Alligator mississippiensis: one gene and its partners. Each later gene encodes a partner of the first gene's protein in a complex. Links are inferred from orthologs where the notes say so. Each region holds a gene or a part of one and is shown in the gene's direction. Other genes may lie near its edges. The genes, in order: EFCAB2, IQCD, CCDC153 and GAS8.

Region 1 (7,302 bases):
AGCAGAAAGCAGAACCAGTGCCCATGGAATCTCAGGACCGGACTAAGATCTGCAGTGTAAATGACCTAATTTGACCATGAGTGAAACCTCAACTCAGCCATTGCAAACAGGAATATGAATTAAAATGGGTTTCAACAATTTGCTTTTACATGTCAGTTCTGCAGCCTATGCTTTAAAGCGAGAAAACAGGCCTGAGAGGGAGAACAAACTTAAAGCCCTTAACCTGCTAAGAAGCACAAGGTAGAAGCCTCTGTGAAATCACTGGCTTGCTGGTTTGACATCAAGGCATAAAAAGCAGTCTCAGCTACTCCTGCTGTCTTTGGCTACTGTGAGGTCTGAAACCCCTGATAAACAGCAGTGACAAGCAATTGTTGTTTATAACAATACAAGATTTCACATATAATGATTGTGGTTTGGATATAAGACCCTAAATAAAGCGTAGAATAGGATTATGCAAGGCATATTTAGACTAATGTGGTAAGCACCCCATAATAAAAGCACATCCAATTTGTTCAGGAGTTCTAAGGGACTTGTCCCTTTTAATGAGATGACCAGGGGAAAATAAAATCGTCAATACCAATTCCAGGTAAAGATGAGTAATGGTGAGTGAAAGTCTACAACTGGGACTATGAAAGAAGGCAATGGGAATGTCCTGCTGTTAGTTTTGAAATAGAATTCTTTCTGTTCCTTAGTTTCAAACATAACTGACCCACAACAGAAACTTGACTGAGAGTAGGTTTTCACTTCAATGGTAAGACCTCTATAATTAAGATGAAACAAGGTTTGACTGAGGTAAAGATGTACTGCTTGGAACTCTTCTTCTAAGTTCCCTTCTTTCCTCTATTTAGCCACTGTCCCCAACCCACATCCCTCAACAGCTTCAACAGGAGCAGGTTCACACTCTCCTGAAGTTTAGGTCAGCTCACCTAAGTGCTTCCAAATGATTCATAATCATTCAAAAGGATGTAGTATTTTGTTCAGAGTATACAATGTTGTCCTGATAGACTAGTGATGTATTCTTTGAAGTTTCTCATACCTTTTTTCTTCTGTGCCATGTTTGATAACATGGAAAATGAGAAAAATTGGCATAAGGGACATCACTGAACTGCTGCTCCTTCCTGTAAGTATCAAAGGCTACAAAAAAAGTAATTTGTTTTACTAAGCAGAGGTCCTGTTCTGAATGTTCTGTTATTTTGCTGCATAACTGTACGTGTCTGTTGAGAGAAGTAGCCACTTCTGCTTTGCTGCATTTAAACATCACACAAAGTAGTATAGTTGGCTAGACCAACAAGGGTCTAAGAAATGTCATAATAGGTGAAATATTGGAACAGTTGCATTTCATCAAACCCTTGACTGAAACGTTTAACACTCTGAAATAACAAACATAATACTCTCAATGTAGCTCAATTTGATTCCATTATCTTTGTATTTCTCAACTTTCACAGCTGCTTTTGAGCCTGAAAAACCATGGATGGCAAACATGTCTGCGAAATTTACAGTCAAAATTAAAGTAGGGATTTCCCTTGAATGCCAATGGACGCATTTAGTTGTTTGTCCTTCACAAGCAAAGGTGACCGCATCCAGCGGACGGGGGGGGAAGAGGGTCAATGCTGAAACTCTTTAGGGACAGACCTTTAGGGTGTCCCTGTACCGCTTCTTTGGTGCACCGCAAAAGCGTACTCCATTTGACATTTCATCGTAAAAGATTTTCTTCAGCAGCCAAGTGTTGGGGATTCTTAAAAGATGGCCGGCCTATCTTAGCTGTCCCAGTTTCAGGAGGTTGTGGATACTGGGGAGAGCTGATCTTCTGAGCACCTCAGTGTCTGGAATCTTGTCTTGCCACTTGATCTTTAGTACCTTTCACAGGCAGCACAGGTGGAAGCGGTTTAGTTTCTTGGCATGACACTGGTAGATAGTCCAGCTTTTGCAGGCATAATGGAGGGTCAGGAGAATGATGGCTTTGTAAAACTTGTTTCGTTGACATGCCAATGCCTCTGTGGTCCCAGACCGATTTACGGAGTCTGCCGAAAGCCACGCTGGCTTTTGCTAGCCTTGCGTTGACTTTATTTTTGATGTGGACAGCACAGGAGAGCATACTGCCTAGATAGGCAAACTTGTTGATCATTGACAGTTGTGGCCTTTAACTGAGACGTGTTGTTCCTGGGGTATTGTGCCAGGAAAACGCTGAAATATCACTTCGGTCTCCTTCGTGTCGATAGTGAGTCAGAAGTTGTCGCAGGCTGATAAGAATAGGTCCATGGACCGCTGCATGTCAGCCTGTGAGCCTGCGCATAATGCACAGTCAACATCAAAGAGGAAGTCACAAAGCGTGGCTATCTGGACTTTGGAGTTCACTTGGAGTCTGCGTAGGTTGAAGATGTCTCAGTTGAAACAGTACCTGATCCCCATACCAAGGTCATCATCTTGCAAGGCATCCAACAGCATTACATAGAATACCATGCTGAAAAGGGTAGGCGTGCACACACAGCCCTGCTTGACGCCATTTGTGAATGGAAAGGGGTCAGAGCATTCACAAGGATGTGTGCGCCATCATGCCATTGTTGAACTGTCGAACCATACTGATGAATTTTCCAGGGCATCTGTACCTCATGATTTCCCAGAGGCCTTCACGGTTCACTGTGTCAAAGGCTTTGGCTAGGTCGATTAATGTGAGAAGGTAGATGTTCTGTTCTTGGCACTTTTCTTGAAGCTTTGCCAGACTATAAACACCGTGTCAGTGGTTCCTCATCATTTTCTGAAGCCACGTCGACTCTCAGGTTGTTTAAATGGTCAGTCAGCGGGTTGAGGATTCTCACAAGAATCTTGACAGCAGTTGAGAGGAGGGAGATTCCCTTGCGGTTGTCAGAGTTGACGATTTCCCTTCCTCTTGTACAGGTAAATGATGGAGGCATCCTTGAATTTTTGAGGGACTACCTCCTGTGCCCACATACTGCAGATCTTGGTTTGTTTCTTCGTGAGGCTGTGACCACCTTTTGTAGACCTCTGCTGGAATCGCATCAGGTGTACTTAATGTTTTAGCTATAGTTTGGTGTCTTTTCAAGAACAAAAAGTTTCTCGCATACATGTGGATTTCTTTAACTGGTGGCAAAAAACTATCATGTTCAAAACAAAACACTTTATAATATAAAATAGGATGTTTTATAGTACTCCTTTTCTCTTCCATTCAGCCTTCAAACAGACAATATATGGCAGGAGGGTATAGTAGTGTTTGCAAAGAGCAGGCTGATTTTTATTATTATTATGGTGGCATTGCTGATATTTAAATCAGCACAGTAAAATGATGGCAACAGCTGAATCCCTGGGTTTGGGATTCAGAATCAGAATGCAGCTAGGCACCTGAAACTTCTCCATGGAAAATAACTTGCCACGTTCTAACTTTTGTATCTTGTCCTGTATTCCCTTAAGGTAGGCAGAGCGCAGGGTAGAATCTGAGATACATCAGCATCTGTAAGCAGTGGCTTGCTTTAGAGGCCAAGGTAGGTCCTGAACTGGACTGTAACTAGTCTACACAAGACTTGTACCACATGTGATGAAGTAAGTTACAGCTGGGGAAACCATGCGCTCTCCCTCTCTCTAGCACACATTTTATGTGTGTGTGTATACCTATCTATCTATATAGGTATCTATAAGATATATTATACACACGCATATTGATATATATCTATAAAGATATACACATACATTTATATATCTATAGATTATAACATATAACTATCGATATATATCTACATCTACATTTATCTATATATAAATGTATGTTTGTATTTATACACATATAGATATATTTATATATACACATTGATATTTATTTAGACACACACACATATATCTAGATCATATATACACACACACACATATACACGAAGTATTGATATAGAGCTATCTATCTATAGATATATCTATATCTGCATATCTCTATCTATATGGAACAGGCCCTGGGAACCCCTGAACACATTGGATGCGCATCCATTACAGACTGCCTATCACCTACCATTGAACAGGCCTTAAGTTATGCATGTGTGCATGCGTATACACCAGCACACACATATCATGCGAGGCCTGTTTAGCTGAACATCTATATGCAGGTGCATGCACGTATACATATACATCGAGTAGGGTTAGTCTGTGAGCTGCGACTACACCCTGGTGTCTGCCGCGGCCCAGCTTGCAAGGAGCGCGGTTTCTCTCTCCCCAACCGGAGGGCGGGTGGCGCGGCCAGGGGAGATCCCGGGGGAGGGGCATGGCCGTCATCCCCGCAGTTAGCTCCAACTGCGCTGGGGGTGGAATCCGGAGGTCGGTCCCCGGCGGCGGCGCAGGCTCACCAGGCCGCGCCCGGCCCGCGGGACGGAACCGCCGTTGGGGAGGGGGAGACGGTTGAACTGCCCCCCGCCTGGGGGCGTGCGCAGGCCTCCCCCTCGGCCGGGCGCGCCTCTGCGCTGCCATGGCGACAGTTAGGGGCGGCCATGGCGGAAGAGAAGGAGGGAGCCACCGCGGGTAAGAGCCCGGCACGGCCCCGGCCCCACCTCCACCCGCCGGAGGGGCCCCAGAGGGGCCCCAACGGCGCCCGAGGGCCCTGTCCCCTCCGGAATAAGCACACGCGCGCCCATTTTTTTCCCCCTGCTCCCCAGCGGACGCTGCCTTGCGCGCGGCCGCGCTCGCTCTGCGCATGCGCGTGAGGGCGGTGGGCAGGGGCGGCGTTGCCCGGGCCAGTCCCGCCCCCGCGTTCAGGGAGCGAGGCGGGGCTGCGCGGCCTCCAGAGCCGAGCGGGGGCCAGGGGCTCGAGGGGCTCCGGCCCCTCCCCCACGCCAGGGCTGCCCGGCCCTGTCCAACCCCCAACGGAGCCGTTGCTACGTCAGCGCCCGCGAGGGGCGGGGCCGGGCGCTGATAAAGGCGCGCGCTGTGGCCGGAGGCGCCCTTATTTAGGCCTGTTATGCTGTAGTATCCCATGTGTGTGGCGCAGGTCCCTGAGGACAGGGTTGCTAGGTGTGCTGGGGTTATCACATTTATACAATACTTTCCATTGCAGCCTTTGTAGGATTAATGGGGATCTTGATTTTCTCTGATTAAAAAAAATTCCCAATTTTCGGTTAAAAAAAAGAAACCCCAAATCCACATTTTTCTGTGATTAAAATGAGGGATGCGGATAACCTGGAGAGGGTTCAGAGAAGGGCCGCTCTACGCTTAAGGGCCTGCAGACCAAGCCCTACGAGGAGAGACTAGAGAAACTGGATCTTTTCAGCCTCTGCAAGAGAAGGTTGAGAGGCGACCTTGTGGCTGCCTATAAGTTCATCATGGGGGCACAGAAGGGTATTGGTGAGTATTTATTCACCAAGGCGCCCCCGGGGGTTACAAGAAACAATGGCCACAAGCTAGCAGAGAGCAAATTTAGACTGGACATTAGGAAGAACTTCACAGTTCGAGTGGCCAAGGTCTGGAACGGGCTCCCAAGGGAGGTGGTGCTCTCCCCTACCCTGGGGGTCTTCAAGAGGAGGTTAGATGAGTATCTAGCAGGGGTCATCTAGACCCAGCACTCTTTCCTGCCTATGCAGGGGGTCGGACTCGATGTTCTATTGAGGTCCCTTCTGACCCTAACATTTGTGAAACATCACTATAGATAGATAGATAGAGGTATCTACCTACCTATCTATATATTAGTGGTATTAGTCAGGGGTTGAATGATACTTTGGCTCTTGGGGTGTCTGCAAAAAAAAAAAAAAAAATTAAACTGGTTCATTGATTAACAAGTCCACCTAGGTGAAGGAGCAATCTGGATCAGGGACTCTCTCCCCACCCCACCCCCCCTTATGATTTTTCAAATCTTACAGGGGTTCTCCCCTCTCATGGGAGGGGGGGGGTGCTCAGCCCTTCTCCCCCCCAGCTCCCCATTAATTCACACACTGCTTATAGTGAGCAACATAAAGTAAATGAGAAGACTTATTTGCCTACCTACTTGCGTACTCATTGGGATGATTTTTCAGTGTACAATACTTGCTGAAAAACTCTGGTAATATTGAGCTTCCAATACAATAATTTCATATTTCAGACTTGGCAACACTGCCTGGGGACTCGGGCAGTATGTCATTAGCTCCCTCCTCCATCTCCGGGAATTACCACACACAAGACTGGTGAATTGGGCAATACATTTGGACCAGCAGCTCATGTCAGGGCATCCAAAGATGAGGGAAGCACATGCTGCACTGTTGTCACCACTTTGCTTTTCTTCACATAATCTTTCTCAAACATTGCATGGTGCGGAAAGGAGCCTGCAGCACACTCAGGATTGTTCCACATGAACTTCACGTGTGACAAGTTCGGAAGGGAGCATCAGTCAGGAACTGGGCTCTGTGGCCTCACCCACGATGTGGTAAAGCAGGCTGATGCCTCACTTGCCACAATCCTATTGTCTTGTAAGACGGACAGATGTCTACTACTCCCGCTTTTCCTTCTTGCCACAGAGACCTGTACCAGTGTCCAGTGCTGCTCATTTGTAGGCTCCAAATGTTAGCTGTCCAGTCAGCTCATTAGTGACCAATGTCATGTGCAGGTGCTTAACGGGGATGAGAAATCATGAGGTAGTGCAGTTGTCCAGAAACACTTGTGGAGAGCTGTGAGGAAAAGTTTGAGGCTGACATTGCAGACATTCCTAAAGCACTCAGTATTATAAGGCTTAGGCATCTGAAGGAAGTTACGAAACAATAATTACCTCAATTCAAAATGTTTTTCTTACATACGTTAAGCTTTATGGTCTTTATAACAGCATTGTTAAATTTAGGGTTTCTTTTCAAGAACACAACTTGTCATTGACAATCCTTCAATTTGAGGATGATCTCTACCATGGCTCGCTGATGGGTCTTGCCATAACTTAAGAGTCCAAACCTTGAGCCACAGATCCATAATTTCTGTGAATTGAGTGGCATCCCATTCCAAAAACATCATTTCTCCTCCTTGCTGAGGAGCCAGGCAGGGACCACCCTGAGCCTGCACTTAACTGCTTATCTCCTCACACCTTGCTTATCTTCTTGCACTTGGGGGCACCCTTGAAAAGATCTCTTGGCACCTCAGGGTGCTGTGGCATCCTGGATAAGAATCCCGGCTAGGGCCACTTCATTGCAAAAATTTCAGGGGAATACTAAAAAAATATTGCATCGAATAACATAGCAGTAAGATTTTTTGTTCATCCTGATTTCTAATGGTAACACATTCCATAACTGAGAGCCTTCAACAAATTAGAATCAAAGTGTCAGCCAAAGTAGCCCTGATGAATGCAGCTACCTTGGTGAC
Region 2 (7,929 bases), on another chromosome or scaffold:
CCATACTAAATAAAGTCAACTGTGCATTTCAATTCCATAGCATTAAACAAAATGCTTAGATGCATGAATCGAGGTAGATGTCATGTACTTGGATTTTAAGAAGGCCTTTGATATGGTATCTCACTCTAGTTTCACAGATTTACGTTACAGCCATTCAGTTTATGATTACACGGTCAGGTGGGTGGCAAACTGGCTTAGGGGTCACACTCAGAGTGGTGGTGGATGGTTCAATATTGACCTGGGAAGATGTGAGCAGTGGAGTCCCACAAGGCTCAGTCCTTGGACTGGTGCTGTTCAATGTCTTCATCAGTAACTTGGATGAGAGCATGGAAAGCACTCTGTCCAAATTTGCAGATGATACCAAATTATGTGATAAAGTTAACACATTAGAGGGTACGGAACAAATCCAAGCGGATCCAGACAGGTTGGAAAACTGGGCGGAGCTGAACAGGATGCAGTTCAACAAGGACAAATGCAAGGTGCTGCACCTAGGGAGAAGGAATCACCAGCATGCTTACAGGCTGGGGAGGTTCTCAGCAGCGGAAAGGGATCTCGGAGTCATTGTTGGCACCAAAATGAACATGAGTCGTCAATGAGATAAAGCGATCAGTAAAGCTAACCGCACTTTATTATGCATTGGCAGGTGCATGATGGACAGGTCCAGGGAGGTGATACTTCCTCTTTATGCGGCATTGGTCAGGCTGTAGTTGGAATACCGCGTCCAGTTTCGGGTGCCGCACTTCAAGAGGGATGCAGACAACCTCAAGAGGGTTCAGAGGAGGGCCACTCGTATGGTTAGGGGCCTGAAGATTAAGGGCCCTGGATCTCTTCAGCTTCTGCAAGAGAAGGCTGAGAGGTAATCTTGCGGCCACCTACAAATTCTTCCGGGGGGGGGGGGGGGCAACAAGGAAGAGATGCTCTGTTAACCAGGTCACCCCTTGGAGTAACTAGAAACAACAGCCACAAACTGACAGAGAGCAGATTTAGGTTAGACATCAGGAAGAACTTCTTCATGGTAAGGGTTGCCAGAATCTGGAATGGGCTTCCAAGAGAGGTGGTGTTCTCCCCTACCTTTGGGGTCTTTAAGAGGAGGCATGCACTAGGGGTGTGCAAAATGGGCCCTATTCAATATGGATTCAGCCCAAATAGGGGACAGTGATTTGATTTGCTGATTCTGATCACTATCCCCGATTCAATTCAACTGAATCAAAATCTCGGAATTAGCATTGAATCTTCAAAATCAGCTTTAAATGTTTTTTCTACATACCTTGAGGTACCAGGTGCAGCTTGTGAACACTGCGAGCCGAGGCAGATGGAGTTTCCCACAGGAGCATGACGCCCCCCCTCCCCGTGCTCGGCGGTGAACCCAGAAGTGGACCAGAAGCACTTCCAGTCCACTTCCAGGTCTGCTGGGAAGCGCGCTGTCCCCGCCCCCCCATGCCCGCTTGGCTTGGCAATCGGCCACAGAAGGACCCCGGGTGCTCCCCCAGACCCAGGAGTCACCAATCGCCAAGCTGAGGGGGGCCCCCCCCAGCATGCTCTCCGGCAGACCCAGAGGTCAACCAGAAGTGCTTCTGGTCCACTTCCAGGTCTGCTGCCGAGTGAGCTGGGGAGCCCCTCCTGCACTCCTGTGGGACCCTCCATGTGCCCCAGTATTGCAACACTGATGAACTGCCTGCTACCTAGAGGTATGTAGAAAAAACATTTAAAGCTGTGTCTATGTCCAAATCGCTGAACCTCTCCAAATCAATTCAGAGGGTTCCGATTCGATTCAGAGAAATTAAAGGGTCCTCCGATTTGATTCAGATTTGGGGATTTGGCCGCCAAATCTGCACCAAATTGAATCACGCCCTGAGCAGCCGCCCACTCTTTGCAGCCCCAGGATTGGTGCTGAGCTGGCAGGGCTCCCTGCACCCCCATGCAGCTAGGCCCCACCCGCGCTCCCAGAGACTTTGCAGCCAATTTCGACCTGGTTAGGCATGAGATACGCCAGAAGGAAAAATCCAGAGACTTGAGAGTTTGAGGTGAGACTTGAGATGCAAGATCATGAGTCGAACTTAATTTTACTTAGACATTGCAACTCTCGCGATAATTTTACGAGAGCTGGCATTACTGTAAAAGACACACAACAGAACAGAGAGGTTTATACATCAAATCACCAAATTTGACCACCCAAATTATCCAGTAAAGTCACAGAATGCTGGGGGACTAATATTAATACTCTGAATGATATCTAAGCAGAAAAACATATTACATTACCAGAAGCAGCTAACAGACAGCAGAATTGCAGAAGGAAGGCTAGCTCAATTAGCTTGCAAATAAAGAACTTTTTCTGCAAGCATCTAGTTGGTCTAATAAAAGATATCACCTCTACCACGCGTTCTGATTCCTTTTGCCTCTAGACCAATACAGCTACAACCTGGATACCTGTCACATGGAAGATATTGAATTTTAGCCTATTTTAAAAATTAAATCTTCATAATTTTACAAGGAGGAAGTTTTACCACCTGAAACCTGAGACCCTGCTCCTGCCATTGTTTGAGATAATTTGTATCATCACAGAGCCCAGCTTACCACAAAAGAAATTCTTGCTCAGAAGAGCATGCCATCTTTTTACTCTTCTGTGAAATATGAAACATCATAAGTCAGAAGGAAATATGACTCTACATCCTACTTGCCAAAACTTGGAGGTAAGCAGACAACTCCAACTTTTCTCTGAGCCTAATCTACATAAAATGAACTGTTTCAAACAGGAGATTTTACCACACCTTCAACTCTCCTATGAAATATGAACTTTTATTTCTACCTAGAAGCACTTTTACAGTCTTTTCTCCTATACCTGAAGAAGGGTGCTTGTGCTAAAAGTGACAAGTATGCTGAAAGTTTACAAATAAAGACATTTTTGCAAACATCTAATAAAGAATATCCCCTCTACCATTAGTTCTGATCTTTTTGCCTCTACAGCAGTGATTCCTAAACTGACAGATTGCACATCACCAGTGTAAAAATGATACAACCTTAAGTACCACCAGAACATTTTTGTCATATAAAGTAATTATAATAAATTTGTTAAAGCAGACCACGGACAGGCTGTTGGAATACCAGTGGTGGTATACGTACCACAGGTTGGGAACTGCTGCTCTAGAGCAATACGGCTACAACTTAGATACCTAGTTTAATTAGTGGAACATCAAGACCATTAGAAAAAAGAAAGAGTCCGTTAACATCTGTGGAATCAAGAGATTAGAAGGACTTGGGTAGATATGAATTAGCCATGAAGTCAAGTGACTCCCTCAGCACTGCTGCCACTAGAAATGCTGCTGCCACTTTCAGGCAACTAGTTTTAAATTTGGGGGTGGGGAACAGGAATCAAAGGGATTTGCGACTGCATCCGTGCACCCCCCGTGGGTCTCCCCCCACTTGTGCGTGTGTGCATACACATACACACTGCAGACTCAGGTCACAATGATATATACAGAAATGTGCGTGTGCATATAAACACACAGGACTCCTAGGAGAAATGATCTCTTTTATTAGACCAACAAGATTTTGGCAAAAAAAGTGTCTTTAACTGCAAGCTTTCAGCCACAAACACCCTTCATCAGGCATTGGAGAAAAGATTGTAGACATTCTCCTGGGTAGAAATGAAAGTTCATATTTCATAGGATTTCACAGAGGAGTCAATAGATGGAAAACTCCTCTGGGCAGTCAGCTCATAGCTGGTCTGGAGCCTCTCCCCTCCTGTGAGGATCTGCGATGATGCAAATTACCTCGCAAGCTTGCAATTAAAGATTTTTTTTTGCAAAAATCTTGTTGGTCCAACACAAGATATCATCTCTACTATGAGTCCTGATTGCCTTTTCCCCCAGACTAATAGGGCTACAACCTGGATGCCTACAGACATGCGCATACACGCATACGGACACACCCCCCTATGGGTATATAATCATCTGTGCCCCGAGTGTGCAATGCCGCCGTTCCCATCCCTCGCTTTCACTTCCAGAAAACCAACACCGACGTCTCCCGATAACTTCATGGTCAGCCGCCTGCCCCGCCCGGACGCAGCACCGCCACTCGTCACGCCAGGCAGCGCCGCGCGCGCGAGCACCTCCTCGCGGGAAGCGGCGCCGCACTCCGCCACCCGCCGCCCCGCCGGGCGCCTGCGAGGAGGTCCCCACTCCGCACAAACGCGCTCAGGAAAGCGCCATCTCCAAGCCCCGGGCTCCGGACTGCGGCACCCGGCCCCTCTCTTGCACACACGCAGAGGCCGGGGCACAAGGTGCGCCCGCGCCCGCCCCCGACGCGACGCGACGCGACGGGACGGGACGGCAGCTTACTGTGGTCGGGCGGCCCGTCCCCGGCCGGCGCGGCGCTGGGGGCCGCGGGGCCGCCACCGTCCTCCAGGGTGAGGATGAGGGGCACGTCGTCGTCCGGGCTGCCGGCCATGCCCCCCGCGGCCGCGCTCAGCGCTGCGGGCCCCGAGCGCCGCCCGCGCAGGCTGCCGCCACCGCCACCGCCGCCCGGGGCATGTCGAGGCAGGCGCGGAGCGGCCGCCCGCCGCCAGGGGGCCCCCGCGCTCACGTGAGCCCAGGGGGCGCCTTGCGCCCGCCGCCGCCGCCTCGCGCCCCGCGCATGGCCCCCGCCCGGCCCCTCTCCGCCCGGCGCCTAGCCTCAGCCTGCCCCAGCCCGCCCCCCTGCAACACCCATTGGCTGATGCCCGCAAGCCGCTGGCTGATAGGCTCTCGGCGACTGCCGGCTCGCCAATCCCCGTGCGGCATCTTCTCTGCTCCCGGAGGTGGTCAATCTGGGTTCCTCCGCCCCCCCATCCCGTATTGGCCTTCCATTGGCTGCAGGTCGCGCTCATCATAAGAAGCCGGCGTCTCCCATTGCCTAGGGAGTCCGGTCCCGCCTCCCGGTGAAGAACGAGGCGAGCCGTTGGGCGCGCCGTCCCCTAGCAACCCAGCGACGCCCATGGCGGCCGCGGTGCGGCGGCAGCGCGGGCAGATGCCGGAGGCCGCCGCGGAGGCGGAGGCAAAGGCGGAGGCCGGGCCGCGGCGGGGCACCATGGAGACGCGGCGCGTGATCGCGGTGCTGGACCAGACCATCGCGCGCGCGGAGCACGTCAGCCTCCTGCCGCACGTGATCGCCAACCTGCGCGACCTGTCCCGCGCGCTCGGGCCCACGCTCAGCCGCGCCCTGGCGGAGCACGACGCGCTGCGCCGCGCGGGCGGCCCCGGCCGGAGCCTGCAGCGCTCGGGGCGCTGCATCACGCGGCTGCTGCAGGCGCAGCCCGGCGCCGCCCAGGCCGTGCGCGACGAGGTGTACGCCCGCGACCTCACGGACGAGCTGTTCGTGCGGGCCCTGACCGAGTTCCGCGGCTTCCTGCTGGAGCGGCTGCTGACCGGCCCGCGGGAGGAGGAGGCCCGCGCGCGGCTGGCGGCCGACGTGTCGCTGCGGGACCAGCGCAACACCGAGGCCGTGGCGGTCCTGCGCGCGGATCTGGCCGCCGCCCTCCACAGGCGCGACGAGGAGGTGCGGGGCCGGCTCGGGCTCGGGCTCAGGCTCGGGCAGAGGAGTGGACGGCACAGACCTCCCTGCCTCTGCCCCGGGGGAAACGGCCCCTCAGGAGCAAAATAGCTCCCTGCAGAGCGTCTCTGGGGGGCCTCCACCGTCCCAGGGTGCTTTGCTTCCGGCCCCGCGAGCGCTCGGGGCTGGACGATAAACGGCGCAGCGCCGAGGCTGCTGTCCCAGGGCCCTAGATGCCGCAGACTTGCTGCTTGACCTGGGCCGGCCTCTGTTAAGGGACTGATGTTCAGTTTCTCCAGGGAGAGTCTCTGTTCTCTACCAGGAGTGTACACAAGTTTGTAATTCTTTTTTTTTTCTTTTCCCCAGAGTAAAAGTGGCTGCTCTGGGACAGGAATAACTTGGGGACAGCCCGAGGGAAATGGCTCCCAGGAGACGGCACTTATGTACGGGCAGCCAGTGTGCTTTGCTGCTTTTCCGTCCCCCTCCCAACCAAGCAGGGGGCAGAACACGCCCCCTGAGTGCTTCAGGCTGAACAAGCCCAGCCATGAAGCACTTGGGAGGCATGTTGTGCTCCTGGCTTGTTCTCTGCCTGAATTGAACTGCAGCACTTGAATGCAGGCAAGCATAGAAGCAGATTTTCTTGGCTAAGGGGAGGGTGGCAGGGGAGGCTGAAGGACTCTTCTATGCAGGGCATAAAGTCCCTGCCCCTACTTTTTCCTGACCCTGCCGATCCCTTCACTTAAGGAAAAAAAGCCAGCTAACTTCTCTCCTGGACTGCGTGCTCTAGGGCCCCCTGGCTGCCAGCATCATCGCTGCAAGCTTTTTGCTTCTATGAAAATCTGTACAGGTCATTTTTTTCCAATCAGGAAAACAAACCTGGGAGAACTGGCTAGCAGCACACCGGGGCACTGCCAGGAAACTGGTTAACCACAAAGCTAATCCACCCATTGCCTCTCATAAAGGGGAGGTTGCTGGAGCTTACAAGGCCCCTGGTATATGTTATATAATACAATTTCCTGCTGAATCGCACAAAAAATGTAGACCATCCACATGTGAACTAAGGGTCACGAAATGAAATGAGAGAGTAGTAAGTTGAAAATGAACAAAAGGAAGTTCTTTGTCACATAGTGGGCACATATACACATGTGCATTTAATGTGCAGTATATAAGGCACATTCAGGGGGCGCATCTAGACGTGCGCCCCTTAACGCACCTAAAAATGGTGATGTGGGGATATTCAAACCTAAATTTGATACCTGCATAAAGTGGGTATCAAATTTATACATGAATAGCTAAGTCGCATTAGCGAACGCAAAGACATGCTAATGCGCATTAATGCGGTGTGTACCTATTGACTTGGGACTAACTTTAGTCCCAAGTCGGTCCACACACCCACGTTAACGCGCCTTAGCAAATGCATGTGTAGACACGCACCTAAATCACCTTAATGTGTATTAAGCTAATGCACATTCAGTTTAGGTGTGCATAAAAGCACATGTAGACATGCCCAGTGTGTAATTAAAGTGTGGAACTCATTGCCACCATATGCGGAAGCTGACAGTTGAGCCAGATTCAAAAAGGGACTGGACAAATTCTTGGAGGAAAGGGGCATCAGTAGCTCGAGCACAAGAGTCAGGGTTACAGCCTCTGAATAAGAACTTCCTAGATCTTAAATTTTGGAGTCTGCAAATGGGAGAGGAACAGTGGGAAAAAAACTGGTCATACCCGGACAGACAAGGTACTTTGGCTAAATGTGGTATCTTTTATTAGACCAAGTAAATAGTTGGAAAAATTGTTCTTTACAAGCTTTTGGTACAAACACCCTTCTTCAGGCACAGGGAGGGTCTGCTGGTGTTTGTGTACTCTCCTGGGTGGAATAGAAGCATAAGCCAATATGCAAAATGCAGGTCTGTGAAAATGCAAATGTGTGGCAGGGAAGATCAGAGGGATAGCAGTTGAGAGGTACAAGACAGGTATGGAGGGGGAGGGGGCAGGGAAGAGGGGAATGTTGCCCTGGTGATAGAATATAGCTGGTAAAATGTAGAGAGTTACCTGGGGTTATCAGATGGCAGGCTAAATATAGACATTGGATTTATGGCACATTATAACCTGCATGACATCCGATAACCCCAGGTAACCTCTACATTTTACCAGCTATAGTCTGTCACCAGGTCAACATTCCCCACACCCCATACCTGTCTTACACCTGTTAACTCCCATCCCTCTAATCTTTCCAGCCACGCATTTGCATTTTCACAGACCTGCATTTTGCATATCGGCTTAAGCTTCTGTTGTACCCAGGAGAGTACACAAACACCAGCAGACTCTCCCTGTGCCTGAAGAAGGGTGTTTGTGCCCAAAAGCTTGTAAAGAACAATTTTTCCAACTATTTACTTGGTCTAA
Region 3 (6,945 bases), on another chromosome or scaffold:
TTTTAATATAGCATTTACATCATTGCCAGTTTTAAGTATTGCTTTTTAAAATGTATTTTAAATCTGGCTGGATTTAAATGCACGTGAAATATTGACCGGTTGCCATTTGTGCAGTTGCAGAGTCCCCATGAGGGGGATCCCTGGACCTTCCCAATGAGCTGTGTCCCGATTGCTTTGGGGTGGGAAGAGGAGGGACTCACCCGGGGGTTCATGCCTTCCCCCCTCCAGTCTCTGACTTGAAGGAGATGAAATAAATCCCTGCCCAAGAGCATGAAAGCCGAGACCAGCTAGGATCAGCCCCGAAGCTGCTGGTTTCCATGAACTCCCAGGAAGGGTCCCCAGGCCTGTGCTTACAGTGCGACAAGTGTCTGCGGCATTGGAGGATAAATCCTCTTTTTCTCAGAAACCGGCAGCAAGGTGAAATCTCTCGCTCTACAGCAAAGCCAGTTTGCCACAGACAACGAGCAGGAGACTGAGACTGTCAGTGCATCTGCCATACTGTGCAATGGCAGATACACCCACTGCAAAAGTCATCTCCCCAAATTAAGCTCCCAGACAGCCTGTGAAGGCCCCTAATGAAGGGCTGTGCAGGAGCCCCCGGGGGTGTGGGAATATGGGTCCAAGCTAAGAGCTGGGCTGGAACAGCACTGCAGCACTGGGGAAATTCAACACGCGGGGAGCTGCTGGCCACGGCACGCATCCCGGGGTAGTTTCTCATCCGCTGGGTGCACAGGTGGGATGTTCATATAGGAATGAGGTTAGTGAGGCCCTTGGGCTTGTCTGTTTTGGCACTGAGGAGGATTTTGACCGTGTGGCTTCTCACACAGCGCAGTCTGCCCATAGACCCCAGATTGCCCCATCAGAAAGCGAGTTGGAGAGCTGATTAAACGGCATCTATGTGAAGACCATGAAATGGGAAGAAGGTTAAGCCCCCAAATGTAAATTTGCAGTTGTACAAAATGGATTTAAATAAAGAGGATATTTTTAACTGTGATTTTTACCACCCGGGCCCTCTCCTGCCTGTTGCAAGGGGGGAAATGGCTGAGCATAATGCATGCTCCATCCCAGCAAAATCCTCCATGCCCAGTTCCTGCTGCAGTGAAGCCCCATTGGCACGGAGGGCTGCTGCCAGTGCCCAGAGCCCTCCAAGACAGGAGGTGCAGGGGACATGCAGACCAAGGACCTCAAGGCAAACATCTGCCCAATTGTTCCACTGGGTCCTTCACATGCATGCCAATCTGTCAGGAGCCTAGTTTCCAGGCTGAGCATCCATTCATTTGCCACCTGTGCATGTATTTCAAAGGGGCTCCTGCCAAGACCTGAGGGAAGAGGTTTGTTTGCAATTATAGTGGTGGGGGGAAGACTCGGTCCCAGATCAAAACACCCTCACACTTTTTGGCACATCAACAAATGATGGTAAAACTGGTTTAGAAGCAAGTGGAGGATTTGTTCGAGCTTTTTATTTAGCATTACTATCAATGGACCCTACTCAAAGTGACGTACATGTAGGAGGGATATGTGAAGTCGACAAAAATAACCAATGTCTTTTGTTTAAAACATCTCAAATATATATGTGTGTGTGTGTGTGTGTATCTATATCTATCTATATATTTTTTTTTTTGAGAGGAGGTATTTTCCCTTTTTTTTTTTCTTTCTTGAAAAACAGTTCAGGGAAAGCAAAACAAATCAGGGCAACATCCCCATTGAGCCAAATCACCACTTTTTAACACAAAAGGATTCATCAGAGAGATTTCTGCCTGTTCACACCGAATGCCCCAGTATAAAACCCGGCTGCTGCTGGTTTGGCAATCCCCTGCGTGCTCCGGTTCCTCTATGAAGGCAACAGAGCTAGCACTCAAGAAGGGATTTGCTGCTTCTTCAACCCAGCTCCTTGACCGCGGTTGCTTCATTAGTAGCCTCCCATCCCTCCCCCAGGGTTGCTCAGCTGCGAGCAGATTATTGTACAGATGTTGCAAAACAGGAGCAGTTCCCTATTTTGAAAAGCCAGGTTCCTTTTTCTATGCATCAAAAATTTCCAATTAAAAAAAAATCCGGAAGTGGAGCCAGGCCGATGGCATTATCCTCCAGGGGCCGAGCGCACTGGGACTGACAGAGCTCGCTTGGCTTTGGAAAACTGTTGACTGAAGAAGGCATCTTCCATCATGGCACAGATCCTGTGCCTTCAGGCCTTGGGCTTGCTGGTGTGGTCCTCCCTCTCCTCATCCAGTTGGGTGGGGCATTCAGGGGAATTCTTCACAACACTTTCTGCCTGCCCTGGCCCTGACCTGATGCGGGGTAGGTACTTAGTCAGGCTGTCCTTAGCTGGGGAACAGGACTGCCCTGGCCAGAAAGAGTCGTGGGAGCATGTCTCCACTGCCCCAGCATGGGACATGTAGTTAAGCTCTCCTGAGAGGCAGGCTTTGCATAAAATCAGCGACCAAGACCCACAGAGAGGACCTGCTGCTTCCCGCAGAGCCATAGTGGGGTACTATAATCATGCCTTGCAAGAGCCTTTCCTGCTTGGTGCATGGGGCTGGACCTGACGATCTCCCAAGGTCCCTTCTGGCCTTACAGTTGATGAATCTATGAATCAGTGTGCTCCTGAAGCCTGAGGAAGTGCCAAGAGGGCAGCAAAGACACAGCGCCAGGAGACATTAGCAGCAACAGATGAGTCTGGGGTCTCATCTCACACACCCTTTCTCCCCATGTGGAGCCCCATCTGCCTTCATGCAGCTCCTCTTCTGTCCGGGAGAAAACCTGCTTGCTCCACGCAGCCCAGCACGGAGCTCCGAGCCTGCCATCCATCTCCCTCCAAATGCTGCAGCCAACAGCGAGGACGGCCAGCTAATAAAGCAGCTCAAGAACAATGTGCAGGAGCTTGTCGGTGTCCCTCGGGGTGTTTTGGTTGACAACGGTGCCAAAAGCAAAAGCCCTGCTGTAATTCATCTCTCTGCTTCCCCTGTTCCCTTCCCCCTCCATCAGGGGTGGCCTGAGCCTGCAAAACCACAGTACTGCGCACGCTAGAGGGAGATTGTGGAAGGAGAAAGGTGAAGAGCAGAGCTGTGGTGCCGTTGCCTTGGAGGAGGTTGAGTCACAAAATCCAGATCTAGACCCCTAGATTGAGATGTATGTATTTTTTAGTCCCGATCTGTTCTCATGCACGCAAAGCTCCCGGTGATTCGCTCACACACACGGGGCCTGCAACCAGTGCAAGCAGCCAGGCTCCTACACCAGCCAGGGGTCTGGCTCAAGTCGTCACCTAGGTGCTCCATGGAGTCCCACCCTCATCTGACACATGGGGAAACTGAGGCACAGAGGGAGAGCAGTCCACATAGGAGGGGAGGCAAAGCACATGCTCCCATCTCTGCCCTAAACAAGGCAGATTGCAGTGTGGGGAGGCGCCATCCACCTGGGAAAGAGCAGGTTGAAGACATCCCGACAGGTTTCAGGAAAAGGCGAAGGGAATCGGTCACACAGCAGGGCTCTGCATGACTGGCCCCACAGCCTGACCTCCCCAAGGGCAGGAGCAAGGCCTCCGTGGAGAAAACGTGACACACATAGAAAGCACGAGTCCACGTGCTTGCATGCGTGTGTGCACATGTGTATCTGAGCCTGGGAGCTGTTTCTGTGTGCATGTGTGTCACCCTCTGCCGCTCTGCATGTGTACGCGGGTCTCAGAGCAGGCGTGCGGCTGTGGGCTGCTCTCCCAACCCGTCTGACCCTGGCCCAGCTGCTGTGCTGCGATGCTGGGAGATGTCACAGCCTTCCCCCTTCCAGCATCTTGGATGCAAAGGACGTGGGATCTGCCAAGTCCTGCGCCTGCCTCAGACCCTGCAGCCCAGCCCCTGGCTGCCAAGCTTCCCCGGTCGCTATAGCAGCCAGCAGCCTGCTGCCTAGCAATGCAAAGCTGCCGGCTTTTCCCAGGCTGGGATAGGCTCCCCGACACCAGCCTGCTGTGCCTTCCCAGCTGATTGGCTTTCCCCACGCCATTCATGCCAGGCCAGTTACATTTCCTGCTGGAAATCTGCAGCCTCGCACGCAAGAAGCCCTTCACTTCCAGGTACTTGAGGTTTGGGGGAGATTCATTGGAAACGATCATCTACAAGCCTCTTCCCCTTGCAGAGCTGTTGCAGCATGTGGCTGGTTTTTGTGCGGCAAATGGAGAGGAATAGCAGAAGAACAGGAGGCTGGGAGGGATTGGGGGGGGCTATGGGCTGGGCAGGGGACATTGGGAGTCAGGATTTGTGGGGGGAGGGCTTGGGTTGATTTGGTTTGTTGGGTTCGCCGCCTTTGTTTTCTGTGCCTCAGTTTCCCCAGCTGTGGCATGGGCCCAGCAATCTCTGGGGGAGGTGTTGCCTGTTAGAGGGATGATGTGAGTGATGGATGGTGCGCTTTCCCCAGTGCCCCATGGCAGAGGACTGCTGGGGGTCTTGGTTACCTTCCGTGCTGCCCTGGGACGGTACAGCCCAGCTGCAAGCGTGGTCTGCCTCCGTTCCCTCCATGCCTGCAGCCCGTGCAGGAAATGCCAGGCTGAAGTGGCCTTCCCATCCGGCCTCTCCTCCATGCAGCATCACCTAGAAGCTCTGGGGGAGCCTCAATACCCCTTGCCCGTTTCTCCTCACAGACAAACCAGGAGCATGGCCCCCAAGGCCAAGGGCAAGGGGAAGAAAGGAGGGAGACAGAAGAAGAAGCAGCCTGCAGCAGGTGAGCGGGAATCCCATGCATGGGCAGAAACCTTCCCCAGGTCCTGCCCCCCAGGCTGCAGGGATGCACCATGTCCCTTCTCAGCTTCCCCCATCCCAAAGCAGCCCAGCCCCTCCTGGCTGATGAGAGGCAGCAGGCAGCTGGAGCCAGGGGCCAGGACAAGCTGCCGACCACCCTGTAGGAGCCCCGTGCCTCCCACTGGGGTGTAACCAGCATAAGCAGGGAAACCCAGTGCTGGGGGTATATGGGACACAGGCACCAGCACGTCCTGCTTGAAGCCAGTGCCATGTTCCCCATTTCCCAGGTGTGGTGTGGGTACAGAGCAGTTTTGAGATTAGCCCTGGACTGGCCCCGATAGGGCTGGGGGAGACCCCAGCTTCACATGGAAGCTATAGGAAAGCCAAGGCTTCTGGATCAGAGCCCTGGGGGACCCTGAACCCCTGCCCCACACACTTGAGCTTCCCCAGCCCAGGGAGGAGGTGTCCAATGCCCAACGATGCTCCGTCTTGCATGCGTGATTGTGCTCTGTCTATGCAGCAGGCGAAGCTGAGGAGTCCCGGAAGACAGCTCTGGAGGTGGACACCCTCAGGAGGCACCTGGGTAAGCCCCTGGCCTGGGTGGGCAGTGGGGACATGAGCCCTGCCAGGTGACAGGAGGGGCAGACTGTGGGCAGGGTGGTACAGACATCTCCCCATCTAGGACCATTGCCATGCACTGACCCGCAGCTGAGATGTGCCGCTGCGAGGTGGTGGAAGCCCTGGGGCACAGCAAGCCCAGGATGGTTGCAGGGATCCCCTCTGGCCACAGAGCTGGTGAACGCCTGCAGGAATTGGCCCAGGAGCAAGGAGCTGGGGCCAGGGCTGGGGCCAGGGACTCTCACAACCACAGCAGTTCCCTGCACCACTGGGAGCACTACTGGTCCCATGGTCGCCCAGCTGAGGGTCTTCACTGACACACACTGCAGCCCCGTAGGGTCCAAGCCAGCACCCACCCCCACGCCAGGAGGGGCCCGTGGCTGCGGTCCCCAGACCTGGGCTCCTGGCAGCTGTGCCGGGGTAATGCTGCCAGCTTCTGGCCAGGGTCAGCCGACAAGAAGAGAGCACAGGGCAGGGTCCTAACCTGCCTGTCACTTCCAGTGCTCCGGAGGGATGTGGCCAGGCAGGCGAAGGCGGACAGCGAGGGGCTGCAGCTGCGGCTGCAGGAGCTGGAGCAGGAGCTGGAGACAGCACGGGAGGACAAGAGGGACATTTATGAAGGTGGGTCAGAGCTGGTAGGCGTGCAGGGGACGCTGGGCTGGGTGCAGCAGGCTGGGAGCAGTGCCATGGGTTGCCCCATATTTCCTTTGGCTCCATTCCATGCAGGGCCCTGCAAGACGAGCAGTTCTGCCATCATCATGCCACCCTAGGCTACCCCCAGCCACCCCCACCTAGCTACAGAGCCCCCCATCCCTCCCTGCCCTGCAGAACTGCTCTAGCTCTGCCCGCCATGGGGTTTCACAGGCCCTGGGAGCTGGGGATGGTGTGCCACAGGCTTCCTGGGTGGCCACGGGCAAGTCCCTTAGTGGCCTGTGCACCCGGTGTATAAGTGACACAGCCAGGGACTTGACTCTGGCAGCCGGGCTCAGCCCTGTTCTCCCCGCAGAGATGATCCGGCAGTACCAGGAGCTGCAGCGGCAGACAGAGACTCGCATCCAGTGCCTGGAGGCCGAGGTGACACAGCTCCAGGAGCAGCTCGGTACAAATCCCCCCTCTCCCTGCCATGGTGGGCTCTTCTCCCTAGCAGCACCACCTTGCTAGGCATTGCCAGAGATGTCAGACTAGACCCTGTGCCCGATGTCCCAGCATGATCCATGGGCATCGATACTCCAGCTCATTCCAGTTCCCACAGTCTCCCCCACTCCAGCCACCCCTTACCTCCTGCAGCTGCTCAGCCCCCAGCCCTGCTCCTTCTCACCCCCATCCCCCTGCAGCCGTGTGCCGCCAGCAGAGCCAGCAGGCCCGGGAGGAGAGTGAGCGGACGCTGGGCGAGAAGGACCGGAGCCTCACCGAGCTGCAGGCCAAGATCGACACCATGAAGACTGAGTACGAGCAGATCCTGCACGTGAGTCACCCCGCAGGGCGGTGGCAATGAGATTGGACCCCCCAGGTGCCGGCAGAAAGGGCAGGGAAGCTCATGGAGTTCCCTGCTGCCTCCTGCTCCCAGACATGGGGAGAGGAGGGTGGTGACCTGCAGGCACAGAAG
Region 4 (7,863 bases), on another chromosome or scaffold:
GTCAGCCCCACTCCCAGCCCAGGCACGCTCACCACCAGGGGACTCGGCGACGTTCTCGTCGTCGGAGTCGGCAAAGACCTCAGCGAGCTCCTGGTCTGACATGTCCGTCAGCTCGGTCAGGTCCAGCAGGTCGAAGTGCACCTCCAGCGAGGACACGCTGCTCAGCGGCTCTGCGAAGGGTGCCCGGCTCAGATACAGGGCCAGCGTGACCCCCAGCACCCCCCACCCAGGCTCCCACAGCTGGGGGCCGGCACCAGGGCATGCAGGAGCCCCTCTTCCTTTTGGGCGGGGAGGGGCCTGACCGGGGCGTCTCATACTCACGTCTCCTCTCAGCCACCTGCAGCAGGCCCGAGCTGGGGATGGGGATGCCACCCTGCTCCTCGGCCGGGAGTTCCTCGCCTGGCCCAGGGGCTGGCACAGGCACCGGGATGGGGACGGCGGCCACTCGCTCTGGGGCTGGAGCCTCCCTAACAAGTTCTGCAAGAGCAAGCCCTGCTGCGTTAAAGCTGAGGCTGCGTCCGGGGGGCTACGTGGCAGGACCTCCTTGTCCGTCAAGCCCTGGTAGCAGCAGAGCCGGACTCCCCCTGGCTCCTCTGCCCAGGGCTGACCCAGCCCTGCTGAGAAGAGCCCTGAGCTCTGGGCAGGGGGCCTGGGGGAGCTCCCAGCAGCTGCCCCTGCTCCGCTCCAGCCCCAGCGCTTGGAGCAGCTGCCCCCTCCCCATGACAGCTTCTACCCTGGCCCCTTGTCACCCGCAGCGCCCTCCGTGAAAGCCAGGGATGCTCCAGGGCGAGGGTCCTGGTCACAGCTGCCGGCAGTGGGGCCGAGGCAGGCAGGGACCGTCTGTCTGCACCGGGGGCTGGGACTGGTGGGGCTCTGTAGCAGGCGGGGGAGCGAGCCCCCAGGCTGAGAGCAGCAGTGTCACCGAGGGACCCCTGGGGCAGGCCCAGGTGTGGCAGACAGGCCGGTGGGGGGATGCAGACGGGTACCAGGGCCCAGTGCTCATGGTGGGGACCCTGAGGCCACCGTGCCAGCCGCCAGCCATCCCCGCTGCTGGGCCTTTGTCCCCGCAGACAAAAGCGGAGCCTGTGCTGGGAGGCCGGGGACAAGGGGCGGCTTGTCTACGAGCATGGGAGATCGGGGGGCGCTGGGGCCAAGCCGGCTACGGCGTTGATGCTGCCCCCCACTCCCAGCCCCGCACACGGCTGCATGGGGCAGGGGGTCTCGCCGTGTGGCCGCAAAGGGGTGTGTGCAGTTGTGCACAGCCGGCGTGGCTCGGGAGGGGGAGGGGAGCGGAATATTTTTAGCAGCCCAGACGATGAATAATTCACAGCCCGGCTGCCGTTGCGGGCAGCTCCACGCGCAGCCGCCGGCGGCAGCGCAGACCCAACACCGGGGGCGGTTGGGTGCTCCCTGGCAGCGTGGCCTGGCCCGCGGGCCGCGGCCCTTGGCTCTCCAGGGGCATGCAGGGGAGCCAGTCCCGCCAGGTGCCAGCCTGGGCCTCTCCAGCACTGGCACCGTCGGGGTCTCAAGGGTCCAGCATCCTGGGCACGGACAAGGGCTGTAAGGCTGGGTTGTTACAGCTCCCTAAGGCATCTTTCAGCGTTCACGGTTTTATTCATGGGAAATCCTGATCCAGTTCTGGCTGCCGGCGCCTGGGAGCTTGGGGTCGGGGCCAGGCCGGCGCCAACACTGGACTCCTCATGTTTCTTTAACTCAAACACCTGAGCCGGAGAAAAACTGTCCGGGCAGCAAGCTCCCCACCTCTCCCGCGGGGGCCGCCCGATCCCTCCTGCTCTGCCACAGCCCCTGGCACCCCTGGGTGAGACGGGCTGGGCTGGGTCAGGCTCATGCCCACCAAGGCAACCTTTCAGGCCTTCCCTGACCATCTGCTCGCATGCTCTGTCCTGTTCTCTCGGGGCAGGACAGCAGTCCCCCAGGAGCAGCTGCCGGCCTGAGTGTGCCAGGAGGGCGATGGGGCACATGGGCAGGCCAGGAAATCCCGCTAGAGGCAAGGGGGAGCCTGGGGCAGGCACAGTGCAGTGGGTGCAGGGCAAGGAGAGGATTGACCCCCTCACTGGTGGCAGGGGGTCAAGTCTGGCTCCTGCTGGCTGGGATGCAGCCCCCTCCCCAGTCACTGGCTCAGAGCTCCTGGCAGGGGTGGGAGATGCGGACTTGGGGAGCAGACCTGGGAGCAAACGCTGCTGTGAGAGCCACAGCCATGGGGCCCCCTTCCCGCCGCCCGCTGTGCCCCAGCCCCTTGTGGCACAGTGTCCCCTGCTCTCCTGCCCCGGCCGGAGGAGCGGGGCGGGGATCTCTGCTGTCTCCTCTTTGCTGACTCACGTTCACCTGCAGTCGAGGGCAGAGGAGGGACCTGCGGTGGGACCGGACCGCCCGCCCCGCTGCCCACGCCCTTGCCTGGCTCTGCTGGGCCCCACTCCCCTACAGCCCCTCCTTGGCACCACGGCACGCCTGGGGGCCCCAACCCAGCAACACGCCCCTGCACCAGTGCAAGCAGCCTCCGGCCCAGGATGCGCCCCCCCCCCCCCACACACACAGCAGGGGGGCACCTGCCCACAGCACCCACCCCTGCCCTGCCCACAGGCACCCCCACCATGATGCCCCACACTGCCCCAGCTTGTAACCCACAGCCCGGGGGGACACCCTCCCCCCAGCATGCCCGCCTGCCTGCACACACCCCCCAGGGTGTTCTGCTCACACACCCACCACCAGGATACCCCCTGCTCACACACACCTCTGCACCCCTGTGTAACACCCCCCTCCACACACGTATCTGCACCCCTGTGCAACACACACACACACACACACACCAGGACAGTGCAACGCCACGTCCACACCCCACACGCATGCACGCAGAAGACCACACACACACGTCCACACCCCCTCGGGTGCCCCCTGATCACACCCCCCCGCACGCCCCCTGCCCCCGGATCCCCCTCTACACCCCGCACACCCAGCCAGCCCCTGGGACACCTCCGCACCCCGCCCCCGGCCGCCCCCCATACACGGGCCGGGCGCGGTGCGGTGCGGTGCGGTGCGGTGCGGGCAGCCCGGGGACGCCGCAACTTTCCTTGCTGGGGGGCGGCCCCGCACTCACCTGGGGGAGCGGCCCCGCCGCGCGGCTCCATGCGGCCGGGTGCGGGACCGGGCTGCGCTCCGCGCTCAGCAGCCCGCAGCGGCCCGCCCCGCCCCGCCCGGCCGGGGCCCCGGAGCGCGCAGCCCCGCATCGCCCGGCCAGCCCCGCCTCGCCAATGGGGGGGGTGCGGGCGGGCGGGGCGCGGGGCGGGCTGTGGGGAGGAGACAGGCGCCCGCCCCCCGCCCCGCATGCATGCCTCCTGCCCCCCCGCATGCATGTACCCCGCCCACCCCGCATGCATGCACCCTGCCCCCCGCCCCGCAAGCATACACCCCGGCCCCGCATGCATGCACCCCCGGGCACCGGTGCGGGCTGGGGGTTCCCTGCAAACAAAGCCGGCAGCCCAGCCAGACCCGGCGCGGGTGGTCCTAAGCCGGCCCCGCGCCCCCAGCCTCCTCGGGAGCCCGGGGTCCTCGGCGGGGTGGTGGGGGGAGGTAGGCCACCTGCTCCCCTCCCTTCCCCAGAGGCCCGATCCCCGGAGAGAAGGGCTCTGCCCGGCCGTGCTGGCACCAGGCAGTGAAGGGGTTAAGCCCCCCCTTGGGGTGCGGTCTCCAGGCCAAGGTCAAGGTGCTGGAGGATGGAGGCTGCAGGTGCTCCAGATGCAGGTGCCATGACAACAGGGCGCCATGGAAACGCCCAGCTCCCAGGGGACCCCAGCTCGGCGCTGCAGCTGCCAGGCTGCTCCCCAGCCATGCCAGGGCAGGAGTCCCTGGGAGCCTGCTTGCACCTGCCTGTGCGGGGCTCGGGGCCCAGATGGGGCGCCTTCTCAGGGGCCGGGGGCATGGCACACGGGGGCAGCACCGGGCAAAGGGGCATTTGCTGCTGACTGCAGCATGGGCATCAGGGCACTGCCGTGCTGCATCCGGGTGTGCAGCCCAGATGTGGGCTGTGGTTACCCTGAGCTCGGTGCTGGGCCCTGCAGGGCGTGAGACCAGCGCTCCTCTAGCAACCAGTCTGCATTTGTGCCCGCTGCCCTGGTGCGGAGCAGGCTGCGGGAGTCCAGCCGCCCCGCCAGCCCTGGGGCAGCGTCCCAAAGCCCATGCAACGCTGTCAGGGCAGCCTGGGCCGCCTCGCACAGGGCAGGAGGGCAGCCTAGGGCCCTGCATCGCAGGCGAAGCACGGGCTCCAGGGCCCCTGGATGTTACTGACTGGGCCCTTGCCCACCCCGCAGAGCTCCAGGCTGCTCCTTGCCCCTAGGGCCCTGACTGCCATCGCGGTGCAAGTGTCGGGCCTCTGGCAGGGCCTCAGCAGCGCCGGGGAGAGGCTGCAAGCTGAGCCCGGCCTGCGCTCCGCTCCGCTCCGCTCCTGGGGCTACGGGCAGCCTGATCCGGCCCAGGCGGCTCCTGCTGCTCCCTGCTCGGCTGCCCCGGCTGCCCTCTGCCCCCAGCTCCGTGCCCAGCGTCCTCTCTGCCCCGTGCTGGGGAGCCCAGCCAGCCACGTCCCTGCACCCCCAGCTCCCTCGGGCCTGTGTCCTGAGCTGGGGGGCCCATCCAGCCACACCCCTGCACCCTTACACCCCTACGGCCCGTGCCCCGTGCCAGGGGGCCCCATCCAGCCACATCCCTGCACCCCGAGACCTGGGGCGCTGCCCGGGCTCGGGCGGCGGGGCGGGGCGCGGGCGGCTGGTTGCTAGGGCGGTTGCCAGGCCCCGGCGGCGGTTGCCAGGGCCGCGCGCGGGTTGCTAGGGGCCCGCGGCTCTCTCTCGCGAGGCCGCCGCGGCGGTTGTCGGGACCGGGGGGGCCGCAGCTATGGTAGGGCCCGGCCCGGCCCGGCCGGCGGGCATGCAGCTCCGGGGCGCGGGCAGCCTGGCTGCAGGGGCCCCGGGGGCGGCTGAGTGTAGGGGGCTCCCGGCTGCGGGGAGCCTGCTGGGAGCGGGGGGCCTGGGTGCAGGCTGCGGGGCTTCTGGGGGGGCTCCCGGGTGCAGGCTGGTTGCAGGGGGCCTGGGTGCAGGGGAGGGGGGGCTCCTAGCTGGAGGTAGGAGGGCTTCTGGGGGAGGGGGCTTCCAGGTGCAAGCAGGGGGGTCTCCTGGGTGCAACAGGGCTGGGTGCAAGCTGGGGGTGGGGGGTTTCTGCGGGGCCTCCCGAATGCAAGCTGGGGGGTCTCCTGGGTGCAATCTGGGGGGCCCCTGGGTGCAAGCTGGGGGTGGGGGGTTTCTGCGGGGCCTCCCAGGTGCAAGCTGGGGGGTCTCCTGGGTGCAACGGGGCTGGGTACAAGCTGGGGGTGGGGAGTTTCTGCGGGGCCTCCCGAGTGCAAGCTGGGGGGGTCTCCTGGGTGCAACAGGGCTGGGTGCAAGCTGGGGGTGGGGGGTTTCTGCGGGGCCTCCCGAGTGCAAGCTGGGGGGTCTCCTAGGTGCAATCTGGGGGGCCCCTGGGTGCAAGCTGGGGGTGGGGGGTTTCTGCGGGGCCTCCCAGGTGCAAGCTGGGGGGTCTCCTGGGTGCAACGGGGCTGGGTGCAAGCTGGGGGTGGGGGGTTTCTGCGGGGCCTCCCGAGTGCAAGCTGGGGGGCCCCTGGGTGCTGGGTCAGGCTCGTCCCTGTCCCCAGGGCTGTGTGCTGGGCACAGCTCCAATACAACGGGGCTGCAGCTGCAGCAACATCCCCCCCAACCCTAACCCTAATACCCGCTGGCCCCTGGGACCGCGCAGGGCGGGGAGAGGCAGTCGGGGCCCCTCAGCTCTGCCCAGCAAAGGACCCCCGGCAGGGAGACACCCGCCGACATCTGCAGTCAGGACCCACCCCCCATCTACCGACTCGCAGAGACTTGAGCGCTGCTGCCTCCCCCGTGCACGCGGCTCAGCCCTGCGCGTTGTTCCCAGGCGCCCAAAAAGAAAGGCGGCAAGAAGGGCAAGGGGGGGAAGGCGGCGGCCGTGGTGGACGGCATGGCGCCCGAGGACATGAGCAAGGAGCAGGTGAGCTCCCTCCCCGCGTGCCCCGGGCCAGCCGGCAGCAAAGGGTGCTGACGAGCCTGGATACCGCTGCCCCCCCTGATGCCTCTTCCTGCCTGGGCCCCGCAGCTGGAGGAGCACATTGTGCGGCTGCGGGAGGAGCTGGACCGCGAGCGCGAGGAGCGCAACTACTTCCAGCTGGAGCGCGACAAGATCCACACCTTCTGGGACATCACGCGGCGGCAGCTGGATGAGAAGAAGGCCGAGCTGCGCAACAAGGACCGCGAGATGGAGGAGGCCGAGGAGCGGCACCAGGTGGAGATCAAGGTGAGTGGGACCTGGGGTGGGTGTTAGGGCTGCAGCGCCCGCTTGACTTGGGCATGTCCCCAGGTGCCCCCTGCTCCCAGCCTGTCCGGGGACTGACCCACCCGCCGCCCCCAGGTGTACAAGCAGAAGGTGAAGCACCTGCTGTACGAGCACCAGAACAACCTGACGGAGCTGCGGACCGAGGGCACTGTGTCCATGAAGCTGGCGCAGAAGGACCACCGGGCCCAGGAGCTGGAGCTGCGCCGGGACATGCGCTCCCTGAAGGTGGAGCTGAAGGAGCAGGAGCTGGCCAACGAGGTGGTGGTGAAAGGCCTGCGCATGGTATGTGGTGCCTAGCGGGGTGGGGAGAGGCCGAGCTCTGGGCTGCACGGTGTGGGGTGGATACCAGGATACCAACGATTAGCCCAGCCAAGGCTTTGTCTACCCAGCTCTTATAAACCTCCAAGGATGGAGAGTCCATCACCTCTCTGGGTACCCCGTTCCAGTGTTTTACTACCCTCCTAGTGAGAGTTTCCCTTAATATCCAACCTCAACTTCCCTTGCTGCAGCTGGAGCCCATTGCTCCTTGTCCTGTATCTGCCCCCACTGAGACCAGCCCAGCTCTGTCCTCTTTGCAGCCCCCCTGCAGGGAGGTGAAGGCTGCTATGAAGTCTTCCCTCCGTCTTCTCTTCTCCAGACTAAATCAGCCCAGTTCCCTCAGCCTCTCCTCACCAGTCCTGTCCCCCAGCCCCACAGCTATTTTCATTGCCCTCCACTGAACCCTCTCCAATTTGTCCACATCCTTTCTGTAGTGGGGGGCCCAAAACTGGCCCCTTCTTCATTCTGGGGCAGATGCGGTGGGTTTACCACTGCAGAGTCAGGTTCCAGGAACAGGCTGATGCATCAGCAGCCCCCTGTGCCAGCTCATGCAGCATGGGGAATCCAGCCCTTGCCACTGATGCTGAGGGGTGTAGAGGCAGCTGGCACGACCAGGGCCTGGCAGGTCCCATGCTCGCAGTCCCAGGGCTGCTCTGGGATGCAGGTGCACTGAGGCTGAACTGTTGAGGCCATGCCAGGCGAGAGCTGGAGACCTCCAGTCCCTGGTGGAAAGCAATAGGGCTGTGCAGCATCTAAGGAGGGAGCATCGGGCGTGGGGGACAGGGGGCATTGGGCAGGCACTGGGTGCCATGTATCCCAGGCACCCGCAAATGGTGCCTCCAGGGGAGGAGGGTGTGGGGGCTGCCTGGGGCAGCCAAGCTCCCTCTGTGCCCAGGGGCCTGATCTGACGTGCCACCTGCCCCCGGCAGAAGCAGGAGGAAGAGATCACACGCCTGCGCTGTGACTTCGAGAGACAAGTGAAAGGTCAGGCGGGCACAGCCCGTGCCCCTCACACTCGGCGCACAGCCCCTGGCTGGCTGCAGGCCCTTCCCCTCCCTCCCCTCCCTCCCAGCTGTAGGGCTGAGACCTGCTTGGTGCTGCCTCCCTGCCAGGAGCAGCTGGAGGGTGGGGGGCAGGCCCTGC

What was found.
Region 2: EFCAB2 (region 1) and IQCD share a complex: the UniProt entries of both Homo sapiens proteins name them as parts of the nexin-dynein regulatory complex. The link is inferred for Alligator mississippiensis from reciprocal best matches to the Homo sapiens genes DRC8 and DRC10.
Region 3: EFCAB2 (region 1) and CCDC153 share a complex: the UniProt entries of both Homo sapiens proteins name them as parts of the nexin-dynein regulatory complex. The link is inferred for Alligator mississippiensis from reciprocal best matches to the Homo sapiens genes DRC8 and DRC12.
Region 4: EFCAB2 (region 1) and GAS8 share a complex: the UniProt entries of both Homo sapiens proteins name them as parts of the nexin-dynein regulatory complex. The link is inferred for Alligator mississippiensis from reciprocal best matches to the Homo sapiens genes DRC8 and DRC4.

What each region holds. Positions count from the first base shown.
Region 1 is NC_081824.1:160,724,921-160,732,222, forward strand, and holds the start of EFCAB2 (dynein regulatory complex protein 8), read left to right. Parts: upstream 1-4,288; 5' UTR 4,289-4,484; coding exon of another isoform or gene 4,485-4,515; intron 4,516-7,302. UniProt on the Homo sapiens protein: Component of the nexin-dynein regulatory complex (N-DRC), a key regulator of ciliary/flagellar motility which maintains the alignment and integrity of the distal axoneme and regulates microtubule sliding in motile axonemes.
Region 2 is NC_081833.1:26,027,369-26,035,297, forward strand, and holds the start of IQCD (dynein regulatory complex protein 10), read left to right. Parts: upstream 1-4,928; 5' UTR 4,929-4,971; coding exon 4,972-5,532; intron 5,533-7,929. Other genes in the region: TPCN1 (two pore channel protein 1), read right to left, coding at 4,338-4,446. UniProt on the Homo sapiens protein: Component of the nexin-dynein regulatory complex (N-DRC), a key regulator of ciliary/flagellar motility which maintains the alignment and integrity of the distal axoneme and regulates microtubule sliding in motile axonemes.
Region 3 is NC_081839.1:31,192,237-31,199,181, forward strand, and holds the start of CCDC153 (coiled-coil domain-containing protein 153), read left to right. Parts: upstream 1-3,945; 5' UTR 3,946-3,992; coding exon 3,993-4,060; intron 4,061-4,624; coding exon 4,625-4,704; intron 4,705-5,241; coding exon 5,242-5,304; intron 5,305-5,840; coding exon 5,841-5,960; intron 5,961-6,345; coding exon 6,346-6,438; intron 6,439-6,673; coding exon 6,674-6,804; intron 6,805-6,945. UniProt on the Homo sapiens protein: Component of the nexin-dynein regulatory complex (N-DRC), a key regulator of ciliary/flagellar motility which maintains the alignment and integrity of the distal axoneme and regulates microtubule sliding in motile axonemes.
Region 4 is NC_081833.1:76,096,046-76,103,908, forward strand, and holds the start of GAS8 (dynein regulatory complex subunit 4), read left to right. Parts: upstream 1-4,847; 5' UTR 4,848-4,902; coding exon 4,903-4,905; intron 4,906-5,967; coding exon 5,968-6,060; intron 6,061-6,165; coding exon 6,166-6,363; intron 6,364-6,477; coding exon 6,478-6,684; intron 6,685-7,649; coding exon 7,650-7,704; intron 7,705-7,863. Other genes in the region: DBNDD1 (dysbindin domain-containing protein 1), read right to left, coding at 33-170, 322-477, 3,116-3,146. UniProt on the Homo sapiens protein: Component of the nexin-dynein regulatory complex (N-DRC), a key regulator of ciliary/flagellar motility which maintains the alignment and integrity of the distal axoneme and regulates microtubule sliding in motile axonemes.